4 linked regions of the Rhinolophus ferrumequinum genome follow. The protein of the gene in region 1 interacts with the protein of each later gene in a pairwise test. Links are inferred from orthologs where the notes say so. Each region holds a gene or a part of one and is shown on either strand. Other genes may lie near its edges.

Evidence for each region.
Region 2: the proteins of PDE6D (region 1) and RND1 interact in a two-hybrid assay, tested with the Homo sapiens proteins (2 studies listed by BioGRID). The link is inferred for Rhinolophus ferrumequinum from reciprocal best matches to the Homo sapiens genes PDE6D and RND1.
Region 3: the proteins of PDE6D (region 1) and ARL3 interact in binary tests that used the Homo sapiens proteins (3 or more experiments, as listed by UniProt). The link is inferred for Rhinolophus ferrumequinum from reciprocal best matches to the Homo sapiens genes PDE6D and ARL3.
Region 4: the proteins of PDE6D (region 1) and ARL15 interact in binary tests that used the Homo sapiens proteins (3 or more experiments, as listed by UniProt). The link is inferred for Rhinolophus ferrumequinum from reciprocal best matches to the Homo sapiens genes PDE6D and ARL15.

The regions. Positions count from the first base shown.
Region 1 is NC_046291.1:6,749,977-6,757,204, forward strand, and holds the start of PDE6D (retinal rod rhodopsin-sensitive cGMP 3',5'-cyclic phosphodiesterase subunit delta), read left to right. Parts: upstream 1-4,212; 5' UTR 4,213-4,422; coding exon 4,423-4,472; intron 4,473-7,228. UniProt on the Homo sapiens protein: Promotes the release of prenylated target proteins from cellular membranes. Modulates the activity of prenylated or palmitoylated Ras family members by regulating their subcellular location.
Region 2 is NC_046293.1:49,975,271-49,982,396, reverse strand, and holds the start of RND1 (rho-related GTP-binding protein Rho6), read left to right. Parts: upstream 1-4,104; 5' UTR 4,105-4,209; coding exon 4,210-4,329; intron 4,330-5,110; coding exon 5,111-5,198; intron 5,199-7,126. UniProt on the Homo sapiens protein: Lacks intrinsic GTPase activity. Has a low affinity for GDP, and constitutively binds GTP. Controls rearrangements of the actin cytoskeleton. Induces the Rac-dependent neuritic process formation in part by disruption of the cortical actin filaments.
Region 3 is NC_046299.1:22,368,105-22,375,270, reverse strand, and holds the start of ARL3 (ADP-ribosylation factor-like protein 3), read right to left. Parts: upstream 3,012-7,166; 5' UTR 2,963-3,011; coding exon 2,960-2,962; intron 1-2,959. UniProt on the Homo sapiens protein: Small GTP-binding protein which cycles between an inactive GDP-bound and an active GTP-bound form, and the rate of cycling is regulated by guanine nucleotide exchange factors (GEF) and GTPase-activating proteins (GAP).
Region 4 is NC_046290.1:33,675,309-33,682,256, reverse strand, and holds the start of ARL15 (ADP-ribosylation factor-like protein 15), read left to right. Parts: upstream 1-3,923; 5' UTR 3,924-4,017; coding exon 4,018-4,065; intron 4,066-6,948.

The sequences.
Region 1 (7,228 bases):
ATAATAACTCTATGGCCTGTAATATTATTTCCATTTTTCGGGTGAATTAACTAAGCCTAAAAATCCAAAAGTGGCAAAGTCCAATTTGGAATCCAGGCTATCTGAAGCCAAAGACCATGTTCTTGACCTCTATTCAGAAAAAAAAAAAATGTTTTAAAATAGAAAGCGATTGGTTAAGCCAACAATGCCTCTGTGACCAAAATGACATTCGTGACTGCTTTTGGGACTTACCAACTCCCCTGGAAGATGGCTAAGGAATGTTACGTAACTGAACACTTAAGCTGGTTCCTTTAAAGTACAGTATACACCACATACTTTCAAGTCTTAAAGCCTTTTGTGCTTTAGAGTGCAGAAATCAGACAGGACAGATGCAAAGGAGCCTAACATCAACCCATTCATTTATTCAAAAATTTCGTTAGCATCTATTATGTTCTAGAAGGTTATATGAAGATAAGACAAGGTTCTTGCCCTGAAAAAACTTCAATGTATTAAGTGCTATGAGAGACAACATTTTGGAAAGCAGAGTATGCTGGGGAAGAAAAAACAGGCATCTTTCAGGCAAAGGGGGAAAAACTGGGGGTAGTAACCATAGTCAGAGGCTTGCACTGTGCAGCATATACTGATGCAGAAAAGAAAACCAGAAAGGCTGGAACCGGGGTTCAGGGGAGAGAAATGAGGGATACAGACCTGGAGTCAGGTCATTCAGCTTCTTAGAAACCTCAGGGCTGGCATTATACCCAGTGAATACCTAAATACTGCAAAGTTCCTACCAAAGAGCGCTCACAACCCCCTGGGAGAGACAGGCCTGTGTGGCTATGACAGTCGGTTGCTACAGGCACCTAGTGCTCTGGACTGTGCCCTAGGCAGAGGTGATTTAAGACAGGCTTCTGGGGATGGGGCTTGAGTTGAGCCTGGAAGAATGAGCAAGCAAATCACAATGGATCTAAGCCATGTAAAGGAGTTTTTATTTTATCTTAAGGACACTGGGGAGCCATTTAGGGTTTTTAAGCTGTATGGAGAGGTATGAATAATTGCCATTTTAGAATGATCATACTAGCTGCTATAGGAATGGATTGGATGTGGAGAAAACTGGAGCAGGGAAACTTCAAGGGATTTGAAACTTCAAGTCAAGGGAAACTTGACTTGAATATATCAAACTTGACTTGATATATTCCAGATAAGAGATTGTGAGATCTTGAACAAAGGTAGTGTAAAAGAAGGGAAGTTATTGGACAAATTTATACCGTAGAAGCTACCAGACACGGTGACCAGTTGAAAGCAGAGAAAGGGAAGGAGAATATCACCCAGGATTCTGGCTGGGGAGGGCAGAACTGTCTGGAGGTGGTATTAAGTGAACAGGGCTGCAGAAGAGGAGGTGCAAATTTGGTGGTGGAAGGAAGACAACTAAGTTCTGTGTGAGTTCATAAATATTCCAGCAGTGCCTCCACTTCCTCCAGAACAATGTCCAGCCTCCAAGGCTGCAGCTGAAGCCCTTCGCATATGCCTTCCACTTACCCTCCCAGCTTTGTCTTGCCTCATTCTTTTTTACAGCCCAAACTCCAGGCCTTCCCATGCGCAGCACAGTTTACACCCTCCCCGACTCATAGCAGGGCCTCAAGCTTGCTCTGTCTTTTTTGCAAATCTCTTCCCTCATATTTCCCTGTTAAAATCCTACGAACCCTATACGCAGATTTATTAAACTCTATGCAAAAAGCACTAATCATAAAAAAAAACACTGAACTGTTGCACTAAAATTAGGAATTTCTGTGTATCAAAAGACACCAAACAGTAAGGAGAGTGAAAAGGAAAGCCATAGACTTGGAAAAGATATTTGCAAGCATATATCAAACAAAGAACTCCATATCTAGACTATGTATAAAGAACCACAAATTATTAAGAAAACAGCCCAATATAAAGTAAACAAAAGACTTGAACAAGTAATTCACAAAAGAGGACATCCAAATAGGCAATACACATATGGAAAGGAGCTCAACATCAAGGACAATGTAAATAAAAACTATTCATAATGAGAGGCCACATTTCACCAAAATGGCTAAAATTAAAAGACTGACAAACAACACCTGGTACTGACAAAGATAAAAGTCAATTAGAACTCTGTTACACTGCTGGTGAAGGTGAAAATTGGTAGACACACTTGGAAAACTGGAAATATCTACTATTGCTGATCATATGACCACCACACAAGCCAGCAACTCCTCTCCTAGAAATGAGTGCACAAGTCCACAGAAAGAAACATAAGCATGCTCATTGCAGCTTTGTTAATTATAGCCAAAAAGTGGTAACTGATAACCTAAATGCCCATCAACAGAACAGATACATAGTATTACATACATTCAATGGAATAGTAAGCAATTAAAGAAAAAAAACCAAGCTACTGTTATATACAACACGGATAAATCTCACAAAAGTATTGACGAATGAAAAAAGCCAGATTCATACCGTACATACTGTATGATTACATTACATGAAATTCAAGAACAGACAAAACTGTTCTGTGGTAAAAGAAGTCAGAAGAGTGGTTATCGAGATAGGAGGATGCAGAGCTAATCAGGAAGGGGCACAAAGGGTGCTGGAAATGTTCATATCTTGATTTGGGGGGTGGTGACACAGGTGTACATATATGCAAAAATTGTGCCCTTACTGTATGTTATACCTTATTAACAAAAAAAAAATCTAAAGATAAAAATTTTTAACAGAGAAAAAAAAAATCCTACCCATCCTTCAAGATCAAATGCCACCTCTTCTATCAAGTTATGCCGGGTGGAATAAATCTCCCCATCAGAGTCTCTGTAGCATTCTGATGTCTTTTCCTTTTTGCCATTTATCACAGTCCATCTTGAATTTCAGTGGAGTCTCCTCATTTCCCTAACTAGATGGTTATCTTCCTGGTGGCAGTGACCATGTCTTTCACCTTTTACTGACAGAGAGCCTGGCAAATAAGGAAAGCTGAAAAGCTGTTTGTTGAATTACATGGAAGGAAAAATTGGGTGGATGCCCAGATGGGTGAAAGGGGGACAGGAAAAGGAAGGAAAGCCTAGGAAAAGAAATAAGAGATCTCTAAGGAAACGTTAGCTTACACTACAATTGTACCTAGTTCCTGAAATCTCATTTAATGTCACCTTAGCAACAAAGAACGAATCAAAACATCAAGTCCTACCCACACTGAAGATAAACAAACATCACACTTGCAGGAAACCACCAAATAAATGCTTACCTAACCTCTGGGTGTTTCAACCTGATGGGGAAATTTCACCAAGGAGAATAATAATCACATAGCCATGCTGCTAAAAATATCGCCAGCTTAGTGTGCAAAGAGCCCAGATTGCGGGTCAGGAGACTTAGGGCTGAATTCTAACTCTGCCCCAACTTACTGTGACCCGTGGACAATCTCTTCGCCTCTTTGGGCCTCAATTTCCTCATATGTAAAACAACAAGGGTTGGATTAGCAAATTCTCTCAAGTCCCTTCCTGTATTGATATTCTGGGTATATCTTTCTCTCCCTGCCCAACGCAGCACAACAGGAAACCCCCGCAAAATACGTAAAAGGCGCCCCAGACCAACAAACAAGCATGATTTGAAGGAGTCATTTTGTTATATTATCTTTCATGGTTTAATCAGTTTTGTTTGTGTTTTGGAGCCTTACCATGATTTGCAGGAGATTTCTGAGTTCCATGTAAACAGAAGTTATCTCTCTGTAGGCTGTCATCTTCTTTGAGAGTGAAGAGGGTCTTCACGCCTGGTTTCAACTCTCGAGATTCAGAAACCACCAAACCTGAGGGAGGGTTTATGAATTTGCGCACACTGCGCGGCACACTGGAGTCGAAGTTAGAGGACTATGATGCCAGGAATGCTGGGATTTGTAGTCCTCGAGACTCTGTTGCGCTCTGGGATCTGTGGTTCCCGCGATCGCCCATGGAATGCTGGGAAATGTAGTCTCTGCCACATCGCTCATTGCAACCGGCCGTCATCTCGGAGCCCTAGTGTACCCAGCGGTCCCTCGAGCCTCTGAAGAGCTGAAGCCAACCCTCCGCTGGGGCAAAGTCTAGGCAACAACACCGAATGAAAAATTTGTCCTACGGGACTTCCCGGGAAGGGCCCTTCCCATTGACGCTCTTCGTCCCCCCCGCGAAGCCGCTGAGTGCTTTTATTGGCTTAACAGGATGCCAATCGCCGAGGCAGGCTTTCTATTGGCTTCGGGGCGGGCGCTCCGAGGCTAGGGAGAAGGAGAAGGGATCTGGAGCGGGAGCTGAGGGGAGGGAGAGGCCGGTCCGGGTCTGGCCGCTGCCGCTGCTCTCCCGAGGTCTTCAGGCCGGGCTACGGCTCAGTCCTCGGCTCCGGGGCACCGTCTGCGAGGCTCCGCCGGGCCAGCGTGGGAGAGCCGCGGGCGGCGGCCGCCGCATCATGTCAGCCAAGGACGAGCGTGCCAGGGAGATCCTGAGGGGCTTCAAACTGTATCCGCCCGGGAGCGGGGCGGGGCCGGGAGGACTTGGGAGGCGGCCGCTTGCAGTGGAGACGGGCTGGGGATGGGGGCCGCGCCAGGTGGGCACTCGAAGGGAGGCTGCGGGAGGGAGGAAAGAACGGCGTCCCGGGCCCCCGACGGGACCCGGCGCTGGAGGCGGGGCAAGGGGCGTCCTGAGGGAGGAAGGGGACGTTGCCTGGAGCCTTGGGGGGTGTAGGCGGAGGAGCCCCGGAATTGGGCTGGGAGAAGTGCTGGACGTCGGCAACGGGTGTCGGGGAGGCGAGCTTGGGTCCCAGCTCCGGTCGGCACCTTGAGGCAGGACAGGGGCTGCGGCCCTCAGGAAAGGGCCGAGGGGGCGCGGTGGGCTGGGCTCGAAGCCCAGCAACCCCCTTGGCGGGAAGCCCCCGGAGAGAGCAGGGAAAAGTGACTTGGAACGAGTGACCTTGTGTGGGACAAATGCAAACGTTTGTGTTCAACTCTCTCGGGTTCCCCCATCCCACCCCACCCCGTCTTGTTTCCACAACTTCTCTTCCTCACTTGTGGCTCCTTCCAGGGCTGGAGCAGAGGCGGGGTGGTGAGGAGAGACGTCTCAGATCGCCCTCGTCTTAACTCCGTCTTGGCCTTTTGAGGCATCGGACGGACGGTGGCTGCTTCTCCCTCAACTTCTCAGTTTTCTTTCCAGCGAAATGAGGACCCTAAACTTGTGCGTGAGGTGCCTTGAGGTGTTTTGATTTTCCACTGAGATTCTTGGCAAAGGTGTCTTTGCTCGCTCGCATTTGTGCGGTTAACGTGTAGATATGGTGGAGCTGTCCAGCAATGTTTTGATTGCGTTGGGGACACGGTAAGATACGTAGGATATAGACAGAAATCATTGCCTCGGGCCTATTGTGATGCCGCTTGTGCAACCTTCTCCCCTTAATTGTAGTGAGAAAGCTTCGTGTTTTAACGGAATGTTCATTTGTAACCAGTTAATGTGGATGAAAAAAATGCAATCTAGTACATTCCAATTTGGCATTTTCCTGCTGACCTCTTCTTACCTCCTATGTATACAATATGGAACATTCTTAAATTCCTCTCTCAATGAAAAGGCAGTCACTACTTTAGGGCCCCTCCCCTGGAGGTTTAGGAAAGCACTGTTTTCTGAGCTGCCTGTGTGTTTTCCCAGTGCCCATTTCACCCCTGCCAATTTTAATTGTTTTGTCACAATCAGAAACCAAATTGGTAGTCAGTTTTGGCACACAAATGCAAAAAAGTTACAGGACATTGTGGATATACAAATGAAAGTTTTCAAATGGAACTTGACCTGCTGTGCTTGTTTTAAAAATTGAAAGGCATTATCACCTTTGCATACTGCCATTCATGAGAAACTTGCAGTACTTTTACGCAGTGGCCTCTTTTACAGCTCCACGTGCCTTTCCAAGTTTCTCTTCATAATGGTGCCTATAAGTAGAATGGGACGGCTGAATGTTAGAAAAGCTATGGCATGGATTTTGTTTCTCCCCTGAGTAATTTATATTGTTACTTAACATGTATGCTGTAGACTGTAAACCAGAGACTGGAGAATTGAGAGATTACTTTTTGGATTGGAAATAACGTATTGCTGAAAACAAGGAGGGGTCTTTTTAATGCCTTTTGAACAAAACAGAAAGGGAAAGTTTGAGCTTCTCTCCTTCAGTCTTGGTTCTTGAACCTGTTGAGAAAGAGGCTAAGGGACAAATGTGGAAAACAGTAGAAGGGAAGATAAATTAACTAATTCAGTGATGACATTAGTGGGTCAAGAAACAGACTTTCAGGAAAAGTTTGACCTGGGCCAATTAAATCACAAGGAAAGCAGCCGTATGAAAATACGTTAGCATGGAAGCAGTGGAATGCTCATCCTCTGGTAGCCGTTATTGGCATTTGAGAATTAAGAGAAAAGAGAGAGGGAATTCTAGGTTTTGCTACTACCTTCAGGAAAAATAAAATTAATAGTTTATTAAGAAACTGCCTGACTGTTGTCCACCTTTGTTGGATAAATTGTTTTCTGGACTTTCTTTTAGAGTATCTGTTCCTGTAAAAAGAGTTTTTACTAGAAAAAGAAATTGCTGTTATATCCTCCTAGCAACAGGGTTGACAGTACTCATTTTGCACATTGACTATGTTGGTCTTTTTAATATTGGCCAATTTGGACAACAAATGATATCTTGTTTTAATTTGTGTTTCCCTGGATCCGTATATCTCTAGAGAGTGGTTGAGAGCTGTACTGGCCTGCAGAGGTGTGCTGCCTGCATTGGAATCCCAGTTCCACACTCCTAGTTCTGTGTCCCTTAGCAACCTCTTTAGCCACTGCCTCAATTTCCTCATCTGTAAATGGGGATAAAAATAGTACCTATCTCATTGGGTTTTGTGACCCTAGGCAGAGCACTCAAACTCAGTATCCACAGCATTTCCTCAGAGAGCTGTTACTAGGATTCAATGAGACTGCATGTAAAATGCTTAGTACAGTGCCTGGCACATAGTAAGTAAGTAATAATGTTACTTATTTGTTTTATAAACAATTACTAATATTATTCACACTAGCAATAGTGTTAATATTACTGTAATACCACTTATTTTTCTGAGATTATAACCAATGCCTTTATGCTAGTATTCTGTTTTCTTACTGAGAAACTATGATACTTCTGTTTTGCCTCTTTGAAGAAATGATTCAGTTAATAAGCATTGATGTATACCTGGTGTTTATCTTTTTTTTTAGGAATTAATCACATT
Region 2 (7,126 bases), on another chromosome or scaffold:
ATGTCACTGTCCCAGATTAGGAATTTATCAGAGTAATCAGAGCCAAAAAGAGATAAGACAGCCCTGGTCTTTGAACATGTGGTACACACACACACACACTTACGCTATCCAGGCTAGTGGTTTTTAAACTGTATTCCCTGGAGTGTGTTCCTTGGAGGTACCCCAGGGGTTGGGGGAGGTTTGGGTGAGCCCCCTTCCAAATTCCCATTCTGATTCAACCATAGCAGTCTTGTTTTGCATCTTTTTATGTGAGTGTTTTGAGATTCTGCATAAGATTTAATTTGTAAAGGAGTTTATTACATGTAAATAACACCATGGAGATGCAATCAGCAAAATCCCGGAATATGGAAGATACTATACAATAAACAGCCTGTTTTCTCCAACAAATAAATTGCAAGGAAACAAAGGGGAGGAAGGTAGAGCCTATAAAAACACTTAAGAGCCATGCCAACCAAATTCAATGTGTGGACCTTGTTTAGATTCTGATTTGAATAAACCAGTGTATGACACAATTGAAGAATTTTTTAACCCTGACTGGGTACATGGTGATATTGTTATTTATTTTTAGTTGTAATAATGGTATCGTGGTTATGTTAACAAAGAATCCTTTTCTTTTAGAGATGAGTACTGAAATATCTATGAATTAAATGATATTATGTCTAACATCATCCAGTACAGAAAGTGTAGGGGGAGAAGTGGGTTGGGATATAGATGAAGCAAGATTATGTTGATAATGGTTGAAGTTGGATGACAGGTACAGAGGGGTTAATTGTATTATTCTTTTTACCTTTTTAAATGCTTGCACATTTCCATACTCACACACACAAAACACTTTTTAAAAAACAAGTTAAAGGAGACACTTTAAAGAAGACTTGGAATTGTAACCTTATTTTTTAAAATAACAACTTTATTCACATACCATACAATTCACCAATTTAAACTGTACATTTTAGTGGTTTTTAGTATATTCTTGGAATTTTACAACCATTATCACAATCAAATTTAGAATATTTTCATCACCCCCAAAAGAAACCTCATACCCGTTATCAGTTACTCACTCTCCATTCCCCTCAACCCCTGCAGCCCTAGGCAACGCCTAATCTATTTTCTGTTTCTTTGGATTTGCCTATTCTGGACATTTCATACAAATGGAATCATACAATATGTGGTCTTTTCTGACTGGCTTCTTTTGCCTTAAGCTAACGTTTTCAAGTATAACCTTGTCTTAAACTCTTCTGGTTTTGATGAGAAAGAGCCGTCTTGTAAATTTATTACGCTAGCTATGGATTTTTAAATGAAGACACTTGGAAGAGGTTTAAACAAACTTGGGAGGAGTCTAACTGCTAAAAAATAAAGGCTAAAAACCCCTGCTCTAGTCCAAATCGCTTGCATTACATTTTTTTTTAAAGATTTTATTGGGGAAGGGGAACAGGACTTTATTGGGGAACAGTGTGTACTTCCAGGACTTTTTTCCAAGTCAAGTTGTTGTCCTTTCAATCTTAGTTGTGGAGGGTGCCCTTCAGCTTCAAGTTGTTGTCCTTTCAGTCTTAGTTGTGGAGGGCGCAGCTCAGCTCCAGGTCCAGTTGCTGTTGCTAGTTGCAGGGGGCTCAGCCCACCATCCCTTGCGGGACTCGAGGAATTGAACTGGCAACCTTGTGGTTGAGAGCCCACTGGCCCATGTGGGAATCGAACCGGCAGCCTTCGGAGTTAGGAGCATGGAGCTCCAACCGCCTGAGCCACTGGGCAGGCCCCTTTGCATTACATTTAAGGAAATGGGCCCAGAGAGGGAAGTGACTTACCAAATACACACAGCTTGTTAAAGGCAGAGCTGGGTCCAACACCTAGACCTGCTGACCTTTGGCTCCATTGTCTTCATGTTGCCACACTGCCTTCTGATCTAACACACACCCATAACACTTTTTCCACCACAACTTATAAACATGTGACCCTCAAAATATCTTCGGAGACACATCTTGAGAATCAGTCATGATGGGGGCTGCTCTGTCTCATAGCTCAGGTTTTTGGCTGCCCTACCCTGAAATGCAGCCACCCAGGGAAGAACCAGTGCTAGCACCAGCTCCCAGAATTTCTATATTAGAGGAGCTCAGGAATGGCTAGAGGAAGCTGTTTGTGTAGCAAGATCAGTTTTCACTTAAATTGAATTTTTTTTTGTGGGGGGGAGTGACTGATGGAGGCCATGTGTGTAGGGGGAGGCTGGTAGAGGACATGGGGGACAGAGAGCTAAAGCTTTTGGGGCTGCCATTGGAGAGAAACCAGTAAAGGGTTAGAGGATGGATGGGAACCCCACTGGTGCCTCCAGAACTGACTCCATAGGAGACTGAGAGTGGGAACAGGACAAAAAGGTCAGGCTGAGGGAAAGGACTCCAGATTGAGGCAGTCTAGGATGTTAGCTGTTCCTGGAACTCTCCCAAACCATACTTATGGGCAGCTCTGAGAGGCTGTCAGGCCGCTGAAAAGGGGCAAGAAGAGGACAAATTTTATAGACAGAACATCATCTGAGGCCTGGAGGAAGGTGGGGGGAAGAGACTTCCAGAGAGCCTGACAGAGGAGGGTAACCAGCTGATGGTAGCACCTGGATAATTTTCTTTTTACCCTGGAGGCTCCCTTAGCTGATTCCTGATTCCTGGCAGGGGGGCTGAGGATCTGGGTAGAGGACAGTGCAGGCCTTCACCCCAGAACTCTCAGACGAACATGGACTGTGGACATGGATGCCACAGGATTTGATAGGAGACATACTGGCTAGGAAACATTCTCAAAATACCCTTCATTCTCCTGTCTATAGTGGGCATTGAAAATATCACCCTTAGAGATCTGTCCCTTTGGGTCTGGGGAAGGCTTTTAAACATCCTTTATAACAGGGAAAATATCCCTGGGTGGGGCGGCAATGACAGTGAGTTAGGAGTACGCTCAGATGGAACAAGACCCAGGGCATACTCCAGAGGCGCTGGGCTTACCAAGGTGAAGGAACCTAAAGATGAGTTCTGGAGTGTTCTCACTTTTGCCCAATGTCAGTTTTACTTCAATCACTGATCGCCAGGAGGCCTTATTTGGGATACTTGGTTCCTGAAAAAGCAGTTTGTTATTCGAGCTGTGTACACCCCATGGTTCTGTCTAGTGGATTGGTGCCGTAAGATGCAAGGGCTCTGAGGGGCAGGGCTGGCAGGCAGTTACACAGCTCATCTCAACCTTAGGTTGCCCTCCAGCTTTCTAATCCCAAAGTCCCAGGGCCAGTGTTCTAGTCTGGACTTTAATCAGGTGACACATGCAGTTTGTTGGCATCAGGAGGTGTCACCTGGAACTAGACCTGTGCCTGATTCATCCAGGAAGCTGAACCCAGGCAGCAGAACAAACACCCCTAAGCAGCTCCTGCCAGGCATAAGGTGAGAGGTTGTCTTGCCAAACAGACAGGGACTTTGTTTGCTTTGTTCTCTTCCCTCCCATCCCCACTTGCCAGACTCCCTTGTTCCTTTCTCTCTGCCCATCTCTGGGTTAGGGACTGTGTGGGGTTTTTCCAGCTGACACGAGAGGGCTTTTTAATTAATTAATTTTAATTTAATTTAATTATTTTGGTGAAGGTGTTTCCTGAGGAAGAGACTTGGGAATTAAAAGGGGCACAGCAGAAGCTTCTGGGAGGGGAAGTCATAGTGGGAATTGGTTTGGATGGCGATTAGAGGGAATAAAGAAGTCAGAGATCTCTGCCCCCACCTTGGGGTGCCACCTGTCTATAGTTTTGGCAGGTCCTGCTCTCTAGGACAACTCCAGCTTGACCTCACTTTGTGCGTTCATGGGTAGTTTATTATTTTGACACTAATTGGTGGACACTCAAGACCATTAAATTTTGCTTCAAGTCCCTTCTTCCCTCCCTAATATCAAATGCAAAACAGCGTGGGAATCCCCTTTCAGAGGAAGCCACGGTGCAGCTTTAAGAGAAAGGGAAGGGAGGAAGAGGGCGCTGACTCAGATCCTCTTCCCATTGGCTGCTGGAGGGGATCCCATCTCAGGGATTGGCCCTGACAGAGTCCGCCTCCTCTTGTGATTGGCTCATCCAGGAGGATATAAAGGGGCTGTGCCGGCCTCCGGTTCAGTTGGAGCGAGGCAGGGAATTCGCCTGGGTTTGTGTGTTGAGACGCACCTGACGCAACCCTCTCCCCTCTGAACCCAAGTCCAAGTACCCCGGAGGCTGCAACCATGAAGGAAAGACGGGCTCCGCAGCCAGTGGTGGCCAGATGTAAGCTCGTTCTGGTGGGAGACGTGCAGTGTGGGAAGACAGCGATGTTACAGGTGTTAGCGAAGGACTGCTATCCCGAGGTGAGCTGCCCGTCCGCCCCCTGGCCAGCTATTCTTGCCTGCCTGTCTGCCCCCTGCCCCGGGGGTACATTCTCATCTGCCCCGGGGAGCTATCTCTCTCCACCCCACCCCATCCTCAACCGCTTTTTGGCTGGAGGACCGCCCTGTCTTAGCTTCCCCTGAGACCTGTTCCACTTCTGCCGCTCCGCTGGCTCCTCCTTACCTCTTCACCCATAGGCCCCGATCAAATTCCCTCCTACCTACCTTCATCCTGGAGTCTGCTCTCCGCAGAGGGAACTGGAGGCATTTGAGAATCTGGGGTTTCTTGACGCAATACCTGCCCGTCCATTCACCCCAACCTCAAAGGTTCTGTGGGCACGGTCCCAGGCAGGCTCCTGCTGCTCTTTTCTGCTCTTCTGCTGGTGGCTTGTGGGGAGAAGATAAAGAGCTAGAATGGGCTTGTGGCTCAGAAATTGGGAGACAGACAAATCTGGGGATGAGAGGAATCCCTCTCTCTCTCCCCCACCTCTCCCACTTTCTCTCCCTAACCATCTAAAATGGGGGGGGGGGGGAATTGTCCCTGCTGGAAGTCATCACATTTCTTACTTTGATGGAGCAAATTGCCTGTGCCTCTACACTCCCCTCCCTCCTGTCCCATGTGGTCCCTCCTGCCCCAGGCATCCCCTCCTCTGGCCACTTCAGCATCTCACTAGGGTGAATGGCTTCTTCTGTAGCCAGTACCAACCAGAGGGTTACAGGGGCAGGAAGGGCCCAGGTGCGAATAGTTTCTGTCTTTTCACAGACATATGTGCCCACCGTGTTTGAAAATTACACAGCCTGCTTGGAGACAGAGGAACAGAGAGTGGAGCTCAGTCTCTGGGACACCTCAGGTAAGACAGCTGGCCCCAAATGTCCCCTTCCCACCTCCACTGGTCTGCTGCAGCTGCTGTCTTTTAGAAATTGTTTTCTTCTTTAATGGGGAGCAGTATGGTACTTGCCACAAACTGAAAGAAGGGGACATGAAGATTCCTCAGTTGGGTGCAGGGAGAGGGACCGGGTCCACTTGGTTGGCTGGTCCAGGGATGCAGAGTGGATTAACCCCAGAAGCCACTCACTTCTCTGGGTCTAGCTCCATTCTTCAGAGGGCTGGATGATGAGGTGAATGGACCCCTGAATACTACTCGGGGGCGGTCAGACAAGGCTTCTTTTTTTCCACTCCCTGCGCCTCTGCCACCACACACACACACACACACACACACACACACACACACACAGGCTTTACTGCCCCCGAGCAAAACCAAGTAAGAGGCAGGAGGCAGTGTAGCTGGAGGCAGTTGTGACTGAGGCAGGGAGACAAGCCTGCTTTTGGGGAAATACTGCTCCTAACTCAGTTTTGTCCCCTGCATTCCACCTCGGGCCACTGCTGTCCTCCTGCCGCAGCTCAGCTCCACTCAGCTCCACTCGTCATACCGCTGCGGCTCAGGGCTGAAGTGATGCATCATCGATGTTTTGGAGGGTGGGGGAGATGGCTTCATATGGAGCAGAGTCACGTTATAGATAGTAGCCGGAGGAGGGGTGTTGGCTTTGACCATTTTCCTTGTACTGGGCTGAGGTAGAAGACGCCCTGTCTTTCTGGAATGTAAGAAGCAATGTTTTTCCAGCCTCTCAACCCTAAACCCTCAGCACTAGGCTATCCTTTGCTTTGATTCTGATCCCTTTCCATTATCTCTTCACCCCAATCCTTTCTTAATAACTGGGCTCAGAGTCGTAATTAAGGACTAAAAGCAAGGAATGGGAGAAAGAAAAGAAAATCCACTCCTCTCTAAAAATGCATATTCAGGCTGAATTTAAAGAGGAACTATAAATCACTAAGGGTTTCCTGTTACACACAATAAATATGCTGTCCTGCTCCTCCAAAGAGCTGTTGTTCCCATGATCCAATTTTGAGGTCTGAAAAGATTAGGGGTAGGGGATGGGTAAATAGAAGATGACTTCCCCTCGCTCCCCCTTCCCCAAACAAAGCAAAACAAAAATTGCCGGACCCGCTATGTTTTCCTCTGCTGCAGTTCCGGGGGTTGGGAGGCAGGGTTCTGGGTTCCCGGTCTGTGCTGTGCTGGCTGGATCCGCCTGGAATGCACTTGGCTTCAGGATGTATGGCTTGGCATCTGCTGTACCTTGCCCACCTTTCAGTCTTCCCAGAATCTTACTGCAGCTCATCTCTTCTCACTACCTCCGCCCCAAAGTGCCACTCCCCCCACCCTCTTCCTGCTGCTTCTACCCTCCTCCCATAGTCAGAATGCAGCCTTTCAATCCCAATCCAGATAATGGAAACTCAGCAAGGTGGTCTCTGTTTCTTGTGTTGCATTCCCACCCCCTAGTTTCCAAAAGGATGCAGGCTATCAGTCATCCTCAAACTCCCTCTTTCAAATGAGGTACCCAGAAGGAAGGAGGAAGTGGCAGCCCAATGGGGATGGGGCTTTCCAACACGGGCCAGGGTTGAACCTGCTCCTGTTATTTACTCGCTGGTGTTGCTTAGAGCCAGAATGGAGGCCTCCTCCCCTCCCCCTTCCCAGTGCTGCAGTGCTCCCTTTTTTCAGTGCTGCGGTGATAAGACCCCACCTCAGAGAGGGGATGGGGTGGATTGCTGAAGGAGCAGGCAGCTATCCCAACTCCCCTTTACTCTTTTTTAAACAACCAACCCCCTCCCCACTTGGATTCCCCCCAGTTTCCATGGCGATTGTGGTGCAGGGAGAGGGGCTGCTTGCTATTCTGAGCACGGATTGTCTGGGTTCCAAATCTGCTACTGTTCCTTCCCCAG
Region 3 (7,166 bases), on another chromosome or scaffold:
GGTCATTCAAAGAAACTGGTGTGGTACAGGGGAAAAGAGGGATGTGTTGGCATATGGGAAAACTACATGTGGCTGTGAGAAGCAGCTAAAATTTAAACATCAAAATTAGTAAACCAACTGTCAAGTATATGCACTCTCTATAACTAGTTTAAATGGAACCGACTTCAATTTACTTATACCTCTTTAAACTAACAAAAAATTGGTGCTGCCCAGTGAGATGTTATTTTCAGGAACTCCTCTAGTTTTGATAAAGGGAACATCACCCAAACTTTGTCTTCTTTCTCCTCATCTCTATACTAAATAAATACAATGTTTCCTGAGGAACAAAATATGGGCATCTCTTCAGAAAGCATGGGTTCCACTTCACTAGAGTCCTAATGAAAAAAACATTGCAGGCTTTAAAGTTTCATAGACTTGCAGTGGACTTCTCTATATGCATAACACCAGGCACAGTTAGATATAGAAAAATGGAAACAATACTTATATCTTAAGAAAAACGCTATGAAAATTAAATGTGTAAAGCAGGACACATAGTAGGCACTCAAGACAGTAGTTGTGTGTTTTTTGTTTTTTTACTTTTCACTGAACATTTTCTGATCAGAAAGCATCACCTTGAGAACAATATTCAAATGTTGAACATGCTTGATAACTACCGCTAGGTTTATATGTAGAAAGTACTCCATAAGTAATTCGTGAATGAAGGCGTGATATATTAAATAACAATGATTAGTTATGTACTGAAATTATTGTCATCTTAGTATTTCACCAACGACTTGGTATTATAAGGCAGGGGTAAAACTGCTGATGCTAAATATTCAGAGAAACCAATGGGTTTTGTTGCAGTATTACGAACTAAAAAAAAAAGAAAAATTATGTCACAGCTGAGGGCTTAAAAAAACACACAAAACCCCCCCCACAAAAACCTGGGACTTACTCTTCAGTTGTACAGTTCTCAGGGGGGCTTATGGGATACCAGATGTAACACACTTAATCATACCACTGGCTATTTAAATTCCATGTTCTACTTTCTGTTCTAAGAATAGCTCACACTTTTGAAGATAGAAAAAAAAAATGTATTTTGGAAACCAGATAAAGAATCCAGAATAATTTGTCCTAATTTCTTATTGTTCATTTTAGGAAAAAAGAAAAACAAAATCTGTCTTGATCACTTAACATAACAGTTGTATACAACAGTGTTGTGTACATTGTCAATTTGTTGTATACAGTGTCAATTTGCACCTGGAAACATAAGCAGTATTTAAATTATTGTGGTCTGTAATTATAAATTAAACAATCATGAAATTATACTCGTACAGTCCACTTAATTGATAAACAAACTGGGAAAAGTTAGGTTACTCTCATGCATTTCTCATTTATGATGACATCTAATTCTGTTGGTTTGGCATGTCTTTTTCATTTCAATTGTAGTTATTTTCTGAGTAAATATTTATATTTATACTCATTTTTGTGGAGAAAAACAGCCTTTAAATGGACAGCTCATGTATACACGATTAATAAAAAGAAAACATGTAAAAACTTGTTTAGCCTGAGGTTAATAAAACTGCAATGTAGTAAGAGTGAAATGTGAATGTGATTGGCAACTTCCGATCAAATAATTCTACTTCTTTAACAATCTGACAATGTAAAATCAATTGAGGTTTTTTTTTTTTGTCCTATCGAAATTTACTCATTGGATAATCTGACCAAAGGTACACATAGTTTTTCCTTGTGGACATCTAGCTTTTTCTTACTTCGTAAATCATTAGAAGTGGTTCAGCATTTCTAAAAGTCAAAAAGGAACTGGGGTTAGGGTAGGGAAGTAACTAATCTTGAGTGCTTGCTCTTTACAGTTGGTAAGCCAACAAACCTGCTCTAAATGCCTCAAAATCAATTTTTCTTCGCTTGCTCTAAAACTCCTCAATTCCGATTTTTTAGCGGCAACTATAAAAGTTTACTGATAGATTCCAGTAATACTCAATTCCATTTTAACACCCTCCAACTAACTTCACAGAAATCAACAAAGAACAAACCTGCCACACATCATAATTTAGAGTTTGGGAAAGCTTTCATTAGGTCTGACAGGGAAAAGGCTTGCCTCAAATTGATGGCCACTCTCCAGTTTCAATTTCCCAATTCCTTTTTAGTTTGGAGACCTTAAGCTTAGATTGGTTCTGGTGTAGTCATAGGCAAAAGAGGGCTGCAACAGGTTCTGAAGGAAATACTAGGGATCGGGCAGCAAATTTGCTTCCATCAACATGGATAATTGAACGGAAGATTGGTCATCACCATCCCCCAGACCTTGCAGAACCCTTAGCAAATAAATAATTCCGGACTGCAGAAGCACACCCGCCACGCAGACACCGAGGCGGCGTAAAATCTACCAGGCATCTCTTCCAAGAGGCGCATGTTTTATGTGTCCTGGGATTTACAACCCTCCCTCCAGAGACCCGCACAACGAGGAAGAGGAGCGCTAGGCTACCATCTCCCGTGGTACCGCCAGGGCGACCGCAAACGCAGTAGCGCTGGCCTTGCTTCCCGCTTCTGGCCCGCCCCTGGCGGACCCCACTTTCCTGCGGCGTAGGGAGGCGGATTCCCTTGGCAGATATAAGCTTGCGTGCGGAAGCTGATCTTCGCAGCCCCTCAGATCCGCCCTCATCCCAGCTCCCCGAGTAATGATGGAGCCCCGACTCCGAATGGGGACAGCCACGCACCCTTCCAGCCCTTTCCCCTGTCTAGGGATCCGTTGCAAGCCCACCTGCCTCCCCAGGCCCAGGTCTCCCTCCAGGGCCCACACCTTCCGGGCTCCCTGCCGTCCCCCGAAACCAATCCTGGACCCAGACAGCAGGCTGAGCGCCGTCCCATTCCCTCCTTGGCTTTAAGCGCAGTGCCCCGCCCTGGGCCTGGGGACGGGAGGGGGGTGACCGATCGGCTCCGGAGGGGCCCAGGCCCCTACACTCACCATCCTCCCGCCGAGTCCCACCTCCTCCTCCTTCTTCTCCTCCTCCTCCTCCTCCTCCTCCTCCTCCTCTTGCCTCCCCCGTTACCAGGGGCAACTACTGCGGCACCGCCCCCAACGTCTCTCGCACGCACAGCGGAGGATCAAAGCAGCAGGACGGGGCGGGGTCCAGCTCCGCTTTCCCTTAAGTGCGCAAGCGCACCAAAGTGCCCGCCCATTGCGCAGGCGGGCTGCTTGAGAAGCAGGAGGTGGCTGCGGGCTTGTAGAGACCCGGGAATGGTGACAATTCGCCCACGTGGCCTGTGGAGGCTACCAGGCCTGTGATTGGTCAGGAGGGTGTGGGGGCGGTTCCTGGGCGGAGTTCCGCGGTGCCCAGGCCAGGCTTCCAACGCGGGCTTCATCTGGTGGCATTTGTCTCAGTTCATTTCTCCCGGGACGAGGTAAGTTGTCTTGGGAGGTCGCCAGCCACATCTACCTCCAGTCCTTACGTCCTGGGACGGAGCTTGTGTTTCTATCCTGACTGCCCTGGCGGGGCTGCAGCGCGGGCTGGGCTTACTCTTGCCGAAGCCACGTGGCGAGAGGAGTGGCCTGGGACTGCCCATGGACCTCTCCCTTAGGCCCCAGCGCCTTCGTCTGTCTTTCGTAGGGATGGTGCGTTAAGGGCTGCGCACTCATCTCCACACACCTGTGTTAGTGCGGGATGGAGGAGTCCCAGTGGTGGGAGGCTGCCTGTGGTAGCGCAAGAAGCTGCCGGGGGACTGGCCTTGAGTTCTTAGTGAGCTGACGGCGCGGGTGAATGGCATTTTGGAATGGCCAGGTTTTGCTAAGTTACGTTTGACCGAGAGGTTCGCCTTCTGCGGTCCTGAAGGAGGCAAAAAATAGGCCTACACTTCCAGGCAAGTAAGAGCGAGAGGGATCCGGGGTGAGTTGGGAGGTGTTACCTCCCACTGCTTCCCCATGCAGAGTACAGGAAGAGTTATGGCTTAGGAGCCAGGTCGTATTCTAGACTCTGGAAACACAAGAGCTGAGAAAATCTAGCTTCGTGGAAACTACATCCTTTCTAGTGAAATGCTTTTCCCACAAGATTCCATTTCATTCTCACAACCCTGGAAATTGGTTGTTTTAAGTAATATAGAGTGGGGACTTGAACCCAGTTCTGTTGATTCTTGAGGAAGTGCTTTTAAACACTATTGTAACGTTCAGGTAAGAGGAACAGAGTGGTCTGTATTTGCAATGGAAACCCAAAACTTTTTTAAGAGCTGATACAATGTGGGTGTAGATGGTACACCTGGAACTTTGCACATGTGTGTATGAGTCTTACCTATCTCACTGGGTTCTTGTGAGGATTATATGAATTATTATGTCAAGTTCATAGAACAATACCTGGCACATAGGAAGTGCTATATAGGGTTTAGCTGTTAACAGCCATAACGTAGTGTTGGGTCAACGATGGACTGCATATATGTTGGTGGTCCATGAGATTATAATGACGCTAAAAAATTCCTATCGCCTAGTGATGTAGCTGTCCTAATGTCATAGCACAACTCATTACTCACATATTGTGGTGACCCCGGGGTAAACAAACCCACTGTGCTGCCAGTCCTATAAAAGTATAGCACATACAGTTATGCACGGTACGTAATACTTGATAATAATAAACCACTATGTTACTGGTTTCTGTATTTGCTATGCAATGCTTTTTATTGTTATTTTAGAGTATACTCTTTCTACTTACAAAAAAAGTTTGCTGTAAAACAGTATACGAAGTTACACCAGCAGTAGCCTCATCATACATCGTGTGTTTACCATGATTGCATCATATTTTCTTGGACTTAGTGTAACCTCATGTTGTTTTGTATAGTAACATGCTGTATAGGATGTTACATGTCGCCTAGGAGCATAGGCGGTGCCGTATAGCCTAGGTGTGTGGCAGGCTGTACCCTCTAGGTTTGTATATGTGTAAGTGCTGTCTATGACATTCGCACAATGATGACATTGCCCAATGATGCATCTCTCAGAACATATCCCTGTCATCAGTCGACACATGACTGCATTAATAGTTTCATCTAGGTTTTTTGGCTTTGCCCCTCTTCCTATCAGCAGATTTTCCAGTCTACTTAAGATAATTGGAATGAACGCATATTTTTCTCTGAATGGTCCTTAGCTATTTATGCATTCAACTAAAGTATTTTTTTTAAACATCTGCTACCTGTGTGCCTGCTTTAGATCCTTGGAGAGAGAACTCAGTTAAGAACCTTGACTAAGGAGATGCAAGATGAATGGTTCATTCAGAGCATCACTCCAACAATCTACCCATCTCTAGCCTGTTGGTTCTTTTGTGAAAAAGGCAAGGCAGACTTCCCTTTCTAAGTTGTTGCCTTGGGGTCACATGAGTGTACGTAAGCATATACCTAGACCTGCTTGTTTAATTATTAGTCTCAATCTCCAACTTGCCCTAAGCAGCCTTGACATTAACCTTCCCCATCCAGTGGTCTTTGTGTCTGACCTGAGTCTTTGATGGCTTTGATCTTCCTCAGATGTGAGTACCAGCAATAATGTTTCGTTTTTTTCCCTACTTGGGGATACAAACAGGGACATTTTGGGTACTTCCCCTCCCTTGCAAGAGGTTACTCCAGAGGGGATTTGGAAATCTGTTCTCTGGCTCTGATACTTTGCCAGAGAAAATCAGGTCTCTCTGAAGGGATGAGCATTACTTCGGGAGATGTAGTAGGTTATTTTATTTTTTTCCCTTCCTCTTCTCCTTCCCTTTCTCTTCCTCCTCTTCTGACTTCTCCTCCTCCTCCTCCTCCTCCTCTCTTTCTCTCTCTTTCTCTCTTGACAAGTATAACCTGTAGTAGATAGCGGACCTATCTCGATGACCCTAAGCCTTGTGACCTTGGGAAAGTGAGACCCTAGCTATTGTCACATCTTTGGATGGATAAACAGGACTGGATCTGTGTGTGCCACCGATGCTCACCATGCTGGCTCAGTCAATGTGAATCTAGGCATTAGTTTCCTCTTCTATGAACTGAGATCTTTGATCCCTAATGTCATTGAGCTGCGACATTCTCTAATCTTAGAAGAAAAGGGAGTTATCAGTCAATCACTGTTTGATCTCTACCTCCCCCCTTGTTCTCAGTCGTGGAACCATATTCTTTCATTAGTGGGGCCACCCTGGACATGATAGTGACTTTTTTAGGGAGTACTAGATGTGGTTCATGTGGGAAGAAGGAGAGAAATTGGAAGAAAATGTAGAGACCAGATAGGATGCGGTATAGGAGAAGGAGATAATTTGCAGCTTTGTGAAAGAAGGCCTGCTCTTACTTCTGTGACCAAGGCAGGTTCTGAGTTTGATTTAAAAGAGGTGACATCCTTGATGCCATTTGAACACAAGGATAAATTGGAATGCATTTCAGTTAGGCAGTAAGTGTCTTTAGAGGGCAGATGGAAGATACAGCATGAACCTTACAGCCTGTCAGGTAAGGCATACTTTACACAAGTAACTGGAAATAACAAGGAAGTGACAATTACAAAAGCCCAACCTGCTTCCAAGGAGGACAGGATGCTGTGGACATGTGGAACAGAAGGGCTGAATTTGCATGGAAGGAGCCATGGAATTGTGCCCATTGCCAGGCAGTGGTGTGGGGGGAGATGTACCAGACATACATTTTTTTTTTTTTTTTTGCCTTTTACATAAGACAGGGATTAGGCAGTTCCTATTCTGACCTTAGTAATGAAGGCAAAGGTTCTTGCATAATTTAGCAAATGATTACCCCTTCATGGTAGAAGAGCTTCCCTTGTGAAAGGCAGGGCTTTCCAATGTTGGGTCAAGAGTGAAGAGAGATGTCTGAGAAGTGAGTGTGTGTGTGTGCGCGCGCGCGTGCGTGCATGCGTGTGTGCCTGTGTATTGAGGGGGGAGACATAGCATTTTGCTCTGCTGGGTTGTCTCCCGGGACCGCAAGTGTGGGGCTCTGTAAGCCAAGGCAGTATGTGATCGGGCCGACTCCTTTTAGGTACATTTGGAGTCAGGGAAAGTGAATGCTTTCCCCTTTCCCACTCCTGGATCAGTTAAGACTGGGTGAAATGCCTTTGGTCTTTGAACCAGCCTGCAGGAGGCCAAGCCAGCCTGTCCCTGGAATGCAGAGCCCAGAGCTTTCCCATGGGCTCCGTGGTGCTCAAGCTGTGCCTGCGAACTTGTCATTGTCTACGT
Region 4 (6,948 bases), on another chromosome or scaffold:
GGATTTGCACAGCTTCTTGATATTTGGTGCTTGAACAAGTCGTTGCTTGTGAGGTCTAGTTATATTTTCCTGGTATAATTATTTGTCACTCTCAGTGGTGATTCATTTTAAATGCCTTATCTTGGCTTTAGTATTCCAAGACCCAGTAAATCCATTTTGGAAGAGGTGAGTTATCTTTGTAGGTTAAGTCCTTGCTCTCCCAATCACATTCTGATCTCTTCCGTTTATGAACCAAGTTCTGTTAGTAGCTTCATGTGTGGTCACTCTGCTCTGGTGAGGTTCATCTTATAAGATACAGTGGTACTTTGTTTAGGTTTAGGAAATAGGGAAGGGGACTGGGGTAAATCAGATGTTGGGAGGTCAAGGCCCTGCAAAGGGCTCAGAAGAGAATTTTAAGGTCACAGGGGTTATTGGAGCAGTAAGTGAGCAAACAAAGTACCTGATGACCTGTGCAGATTTCAGTGTGTTGACACCTCCACTTTTTCTGAAACCATTGTCCATGGTTTAAAAGTTACTCTGATGAAAGATTCCATCCCTTAGCAATTAAGGAATAATATATTCAGTCAAGGCAAGAATGAGGCAAGATAAGCACTCTGGGGCCAGGGTGGGGAAATGAGTATAAACTAGTACAAAATGAGTATTAAAAGTATTGTACCCTTTGTACCAGTAATTCCATTTCTAGACATTTTCTCTAGAATACTGAGATGTGAACAATTTAATAAGCAACCATTCACGGCAGTATTTATAACAGTAATATATAACAGGATTTGTTAACATAGCACATTTATACAATAGAGCTTTATATAGCCATTTAAACATTTATGAAGACTTTCATGATATGGTGAACTTTATATATTCAGCATGCATGATACAAAACTAGCAGAGAGAGTATTCTTCCCAAATTTATGATGTATCAAATGAACAACAAAAAAGGAGTAAATGGAAATAGTCACTAACATGTTGGTTTTTCTGGATGGTAGAATTTGGGAGACCAAGTTGCAAAAATGCATTTCTGTTTTTGTTTCCTACAAGAAACACTTTTACAAAAAATTTCCTCCAGTGTTGTTTATGGAATTGTAGAGTATAGACTGGCGAAAGAATTTCTCCTTGCTTTTGACAAGCGACAGTGAGGGCCTCTATCCTCAACTTGTATAGTAATGCAATTACCTCATGAGTTTATACATGTTTTCTTATGCATCTGGAAGAGAGCAAAGGCCGGACTACATTAATGAGATCATGTTTATTCAAGACTGCAGTCTGTTACTTGGCATATAGTGGGATAGGTTGAATGAATGCATTCTCACCTCTCAACACTCTCTTCTTAAAAGCACAAATTGGGAGGATTACTGCTATTGCTACCAACTTTATGACTTCAGCTTCATGTAATGCGTGGTGTATTATCTATTTATACCAGCAAAATCTAGAAGTTGGCCTCTTCTGCACAAGAGTGGACATATTAACATCCCAGAAGATTAACATCTAATTAGAAGAATGTGCTCCTTAGGGAGTTCTGAAGCTTCAGGTTTTGGGGGGTGTGTGTGTGTGTGTGTGTGTGTGTGTGTGTTTTCCTTCCTAAGGACTCTTTTCCAAAAGGCAATACATGATTCTTTTATTATATTACAGTAAACACAAGGTTTTCCTTGGTGCCAGTTATAACGAATGTGCAAATGGTGTGGAACAGGGAGGGTACTATGGTGCAGCCTTTGGAACTTTTCCATCTCTCTGCTTTGGACCCATTTACTAATTCCTAAAGGCAGAGTGACCATGTTTAGCCTAATGACCTTCTGTTCAGGACTTTCTCTAAGGTTAGCTTTTAAAGGAAGGGCAGAGCCAACTGCTCCTGGGTGATTTTCTTCCCCTGCATAGAAACTGACAGGCCTCTGAGGAGTCTGACTTGGCAGTCGTGAAGACATCATTTATCACTAAGAAAATGGGCCAAAAAGTGTCTCTTTGCTAATTCAAGCTCTATCTTATTTGCAATATGCTTATGCATGGAAAGAAGGCAAACAAACAAACAAAAACAAGTTTCCTTGTCTATTTGAATTATTTTTGCTAGCAAGTTTGAGAGGATTTTAACTTCTGCAATTAGTTTCAAGCAATTGTGCTATTGGTTTATGGAAGTTCTTCACCTCCAGAATCCAGGTCAAAATCTCTTCTAAACCTACACGTGTTTGACCTAGAATGCTAAGAAAAATCAAAATTGGATCTAATGACATAATGCAATTGAGTCTAGTTAGCTTCTGCATAGGCAAAAACTCATTGAAATTTCTTTAGAAATGTTTATACACATCCCTTGTCTGTAAATTAGATGAGCAAAATCAAGCTCTGTACTAATAAGTTCCTTCAAAAAACCCTCTAGCCATAGGAATTCTCATTTCTCAGCTGCAAGATGAGATAGGATACCCAAAACCTCATGGCTCACCACCTGGAGCTCCCACTGAACAGCCACACTCCCTTCTGTTCCTGGTTTGTACATATTTAGAGTGAATTCCACTGTTATCTAATAGAACGGTTTTGGTGGCCCCAGGTAAGCTTATTGTATAAAAATTCATTCCTGAGGATACAAAAGAGAAAGCTGCCAAGTTGAGGGAAAATAAAAATCCAACTCCTAAAACAACTTTTATACCAGTTAGGTAGTCGCTTCAGAAAGATTTAAGTTCAAGTTTCACTCTTGAAACGTTATTGTATGGAAGCCCCAATAATATGTGAGAGCAATCCCTCATCCTCCTTAACCTGTGGGGGGGCACGTCAGTCACCTGAGCCTGATACCATAGATATGGCTGGCATTGTTGTTGTTGTTGAATTGGTTATTCATAGCCTCTGTCATAAATAAATAAATAAATAAATAAATAAATAAATAAATAAATAAATAAATAAAATAAGCGAGCCTTGAGTGTTCTTATCCAGCTTTCCTCCTCCCCAAACTTAATGCTCCAAACTTAATAGTGGAATCTCTGCCGATTTCCCAGTTTTTTTTTGTTTTGTTTTTTTACCAGGTCTCAGGTGCACCTGCTCATAGATATTTTTACCTCTTACAATGACAACGGGTCACAAATACTTTATAACTTGGGTCTTTTCAGAGAGCTTCTCATTCTATTGCTCATTTTCTTCAGAGCCGATGATTTGTGCTCAGTGTAATTGGGACTCAAAACATGCAATTAACTGACCAGTTTCTTCTTCCCAAGTGTTGGAGGTCTACAATCAACTCTACCAAGTTCCCCAGCTGGTTTTCTTTGCCTTTCACGTGGTGGAGAGCGAATTCTGCAGGGGCAATCTGATTAGAGGTAGCCTCCTGGATTACCTCTGGCCGTGTCGGGGGCTTCTCTGTCACCCCAGGGACATCAGGCTGGAGCTGTCCGCCTTCTCAGTTTCACATCTAATTGAAGGTGGGGAGGGGCCGTCCCCGAGTCACAGGCTTGCCAGTTCAGCATACTGTCCTACACACTTCGAGGGTCCCCGTGGGGCCGTCTCGAGGCTGCAGAACCTTCAGGAAATAGCTCCGAAGAGGGACACTAAGTGTCAGTGGTTACCACTCCTCCGGCGTTTCGGCTCTAGCTTCCTCCCGGGGGTGGGGAGTGGGAGGGGACATTAACGCTCTCCAGCACTGGAGCAGCTCTGCTCCGCTCTACCCAGTTAGGACACTATGGAAGCACAGAACTCCGGAGGCAGCGGCACCCGCCGATTTTCCGCTCTTCCCTGCTCGCTCTTCCGCCTGCGCCGCCCCAGCTCCCGCCCCTCCGCCCTCTTCACAGGAACCAGGGCCCTCGACGCTCCCGCGCTTCTCTCCTGCCACCCGCAGTGGCCTGCATTTTATAGGCGCCACAGCCAATAAGCGCTCTCCTTTTCTTCTGCCCGCCCTCCCGGCCAATCGCCGCTCCCCTTGTGTAATCTTCGGCTACTCGGCTGCTCTCGGCTATATTCGTCGTTGCTGGCTTTTTCAGGGACTGCTCGCTCGCAGCCAGAGACGCTGCTTTTTTTTCCGGGTTCGGAGCCGTTCCGGATGCTTTAGGCTGCCGGATGACTGATCTCCAGATAACTGAGGCGTTTCTGTACATGGATTATCTGGTAGGTGTGGGGAGGGGGTGGCGTGTCGCCTCTCGGACCCCGATGTGCCTACTGTCCCCCGCCTGGAGGAACAGCCTTTTTGCTTTCTTTCTTTGGGATAGGATGCCTTGGGGTTCTTTCTCCCGCAGCCGGCTCTAGAACTGTGCGGGGGATTCGGAGGGGCGGGCGGAAGGGGTGGTAGAGCTGACAGGTAAAGGTGCAAGCCGGATCAGCCTCCCTGCGGGGCGAGGGGCTGGCTGGGGCTGCGGGAGAGATGGGGCCGCGGCGGCCGGGCGTCCCCTGCCCGCGATCGACTTCTTTGCTTCCCCCTGTGCTCCCCGCAAAGCACTTTCTTTCTGGGGAAGCAGGAGTTTTCCGCTCTCCCTTTAGCAGAACTCCAGGTACTATTAAAGAGCCATAACCAGAATGGCTCACTAAGTGCCCGGCAGCCCCGGTCATTTGGTTGTTATTAGATCTCTAAAGCTATGACCTCGGTCGCGGCGAGGTTTTAAAAGCACATTACCATAAAGTACACGGGACTAAACTGCATCGCAGCCTGGCCAGAACAGGACTGGGTAGGGGCAGGTATTGCCCCACCGTTACGGTCGTGGTTGCATGCCTCGTTTACCATGTGCATGCATTGGATACCAGTTAGTTGCATGTTTAGGCCAGGCTTGTGCTGAGAAGTTTAGATGGAAAAAGTGTCAGCACAATGTTGGGACTGAACATTATTTTAAAAATAGACGTGTGTGTGTGTAATTATGCAAGCACCTTGTATTGTTCCAGAAAGAATATATTCTTGCAGAAAGTATATATTCCCCCAGAGCTGCATGTTTGTGTTCAAGGGGATCCTGATTTGACATTGGTTCCTTTCGATCCTATGCAATGACCAGGTTTACCTTGTTAGCCGGAACCGCTATTGCCATACATATTAAAGATGGTTCAAAACATTACCCTCCTGTCATCTTGCCCGACACATTCAGGCGGTTTTCGACTGTAGATTGGCCTGGCAGAGATTTTCCAGTGCCTTCTAGGAATTACACTTAACGCTGTATTAAGAAAGATTGAATGCTTTCATGATCAAGAGACGCTGGACAAGGAGTAGTTTGTCATGTTATCTTGTATTTGGGCTTTTTACATGAAGGAAATGTTTCTCCTAAAGCTTCAAGGTTTGATGATTGTGTGGGGAAGGGTGCTGATTGCAGTTAATACATGACCTTGTGAATGGAGCGGAGTAAAAAATTCTGAGTTCAAATTGTTTTGTTGTTCATTTGCTGATGTCAGTAACTTCCTCTATCTTTGGTGATAAAGGGACATTATCCACCCACACCTGGAGCCAGTTAAGGGATTATCTGATTGTGTGTTTTAAAATGCAGAGTGCTTTGTAGGTTAAGAGGGTTACCAAACATTTTTCAAAGATTATTTTCTAAATTAAATAACTGATTATTTTGTAGCTTGTCTTATAAATACAGTACTATGGATTTTCTTACAGTAGCCCATATTAAAGCCAAAGTTTGTTGAGGATAATTGCCAAGTAGGAAAGGGTAGCATTACCTGTACTATTGAAAACTAATTTTGGATACTTAAGTAGTGCCTAAAAAGGAGTCAGGTAGTTCTGATCATTTTATTACAGTATTTTCTTTATTTACTGAATGAGTTTTAAATTTACAAATTGCATTATAAAGCTGTCTTTGAGGTGCCAAACCCACTAAAGCATTTAGTGAGAAAAAAAATTGAAAACTCAGATTAATTTCTAGATGGAGAGTCTAAGGGTGGGTGGGTGAATGTGTGTGGGACTTTAGGCTACCTTAAAAGCAGATAAATTTCTTTGTTAATTTACTAACAGTTTTGTGTCAAAATCAGTGGGCCTCAAATTTGACATGGCCTTTTTGTTTTTATATCTATCCCTCCCTGTCGCCCTATTGCGTTGGTATAAAAAAAATCATTATTTGGTCACTTTAACTATACTCTTAAATAATTCACATGTGCAGTGAAACAGCCCCATAAAAATCATTGACTAGTCTTTTGAGGTGAGGAAAAAAAATCTTAAAGGAAATAAATCAGTTTTTGTGTGTGCCAAGTATCCCCTGTGACAAGATTTGAAATCCTTGAACATTAAGTTCAGTTTTTTACTGAAACTGGACTGAAAAAACACACACACAAAACCTCTTGAGGTTGTCTTTTGTGTTTACTTTTTGCTTATCTACTCGCAGAGAAAATGGTATGCCACACATCATTCCTTCCTTCTTGCCTGTCAGATTGACTTGTTTTCTTATACATAATCTTTATATGGTGTTTATTAAAAACCTGTTTCTGAAAAATGAAAGTCACTTTTGTTGACTGTATTTGGGGTCTTATTTTTAAAACAAATCAATTCCTAAGTTATTTTTACTTGCCTTCCAGAAAAAAAAAAATGTTCCTTTCATTCTGAGTTTGACTCTCAGATTTTGCTGAGCTTGTGGACTAGAGTAAGCACCCTGTCCATGAACTTGATAAGAATAATGGTGTGCCATCTTTCCTTCATTTTTCCTTTTAACAGGTGTTAGACTTAGTTGTTGTTGTTGGAAGCTGGAAGAGGAAGCTTTGTGTGTGTATGTATTGTCCATTGTTCTTTGGACTGGATGTCATCACTTAATCTTTGTTATTTGGAGGAGAATAGAAAGGAAGAGAAATGAGAGAAAGGTAGAGGTGCTATTTTTAACAGCTTTTAATAGGATTGTGGCATTAAAACAAATGATGAAGCCCTGATTTTAGAACTTGCTGTTGATTTCCTAATGGAAAAGAAATATTCTCAATGAGAGGTGACAGATAAGTTGAGGGACAGGGATAGTGCCTTAATATTTAAGGTAGGGTTTTTATTGATTTCAGTTCAGGGAGATAATGATAATTTGCTGATGCTAAATA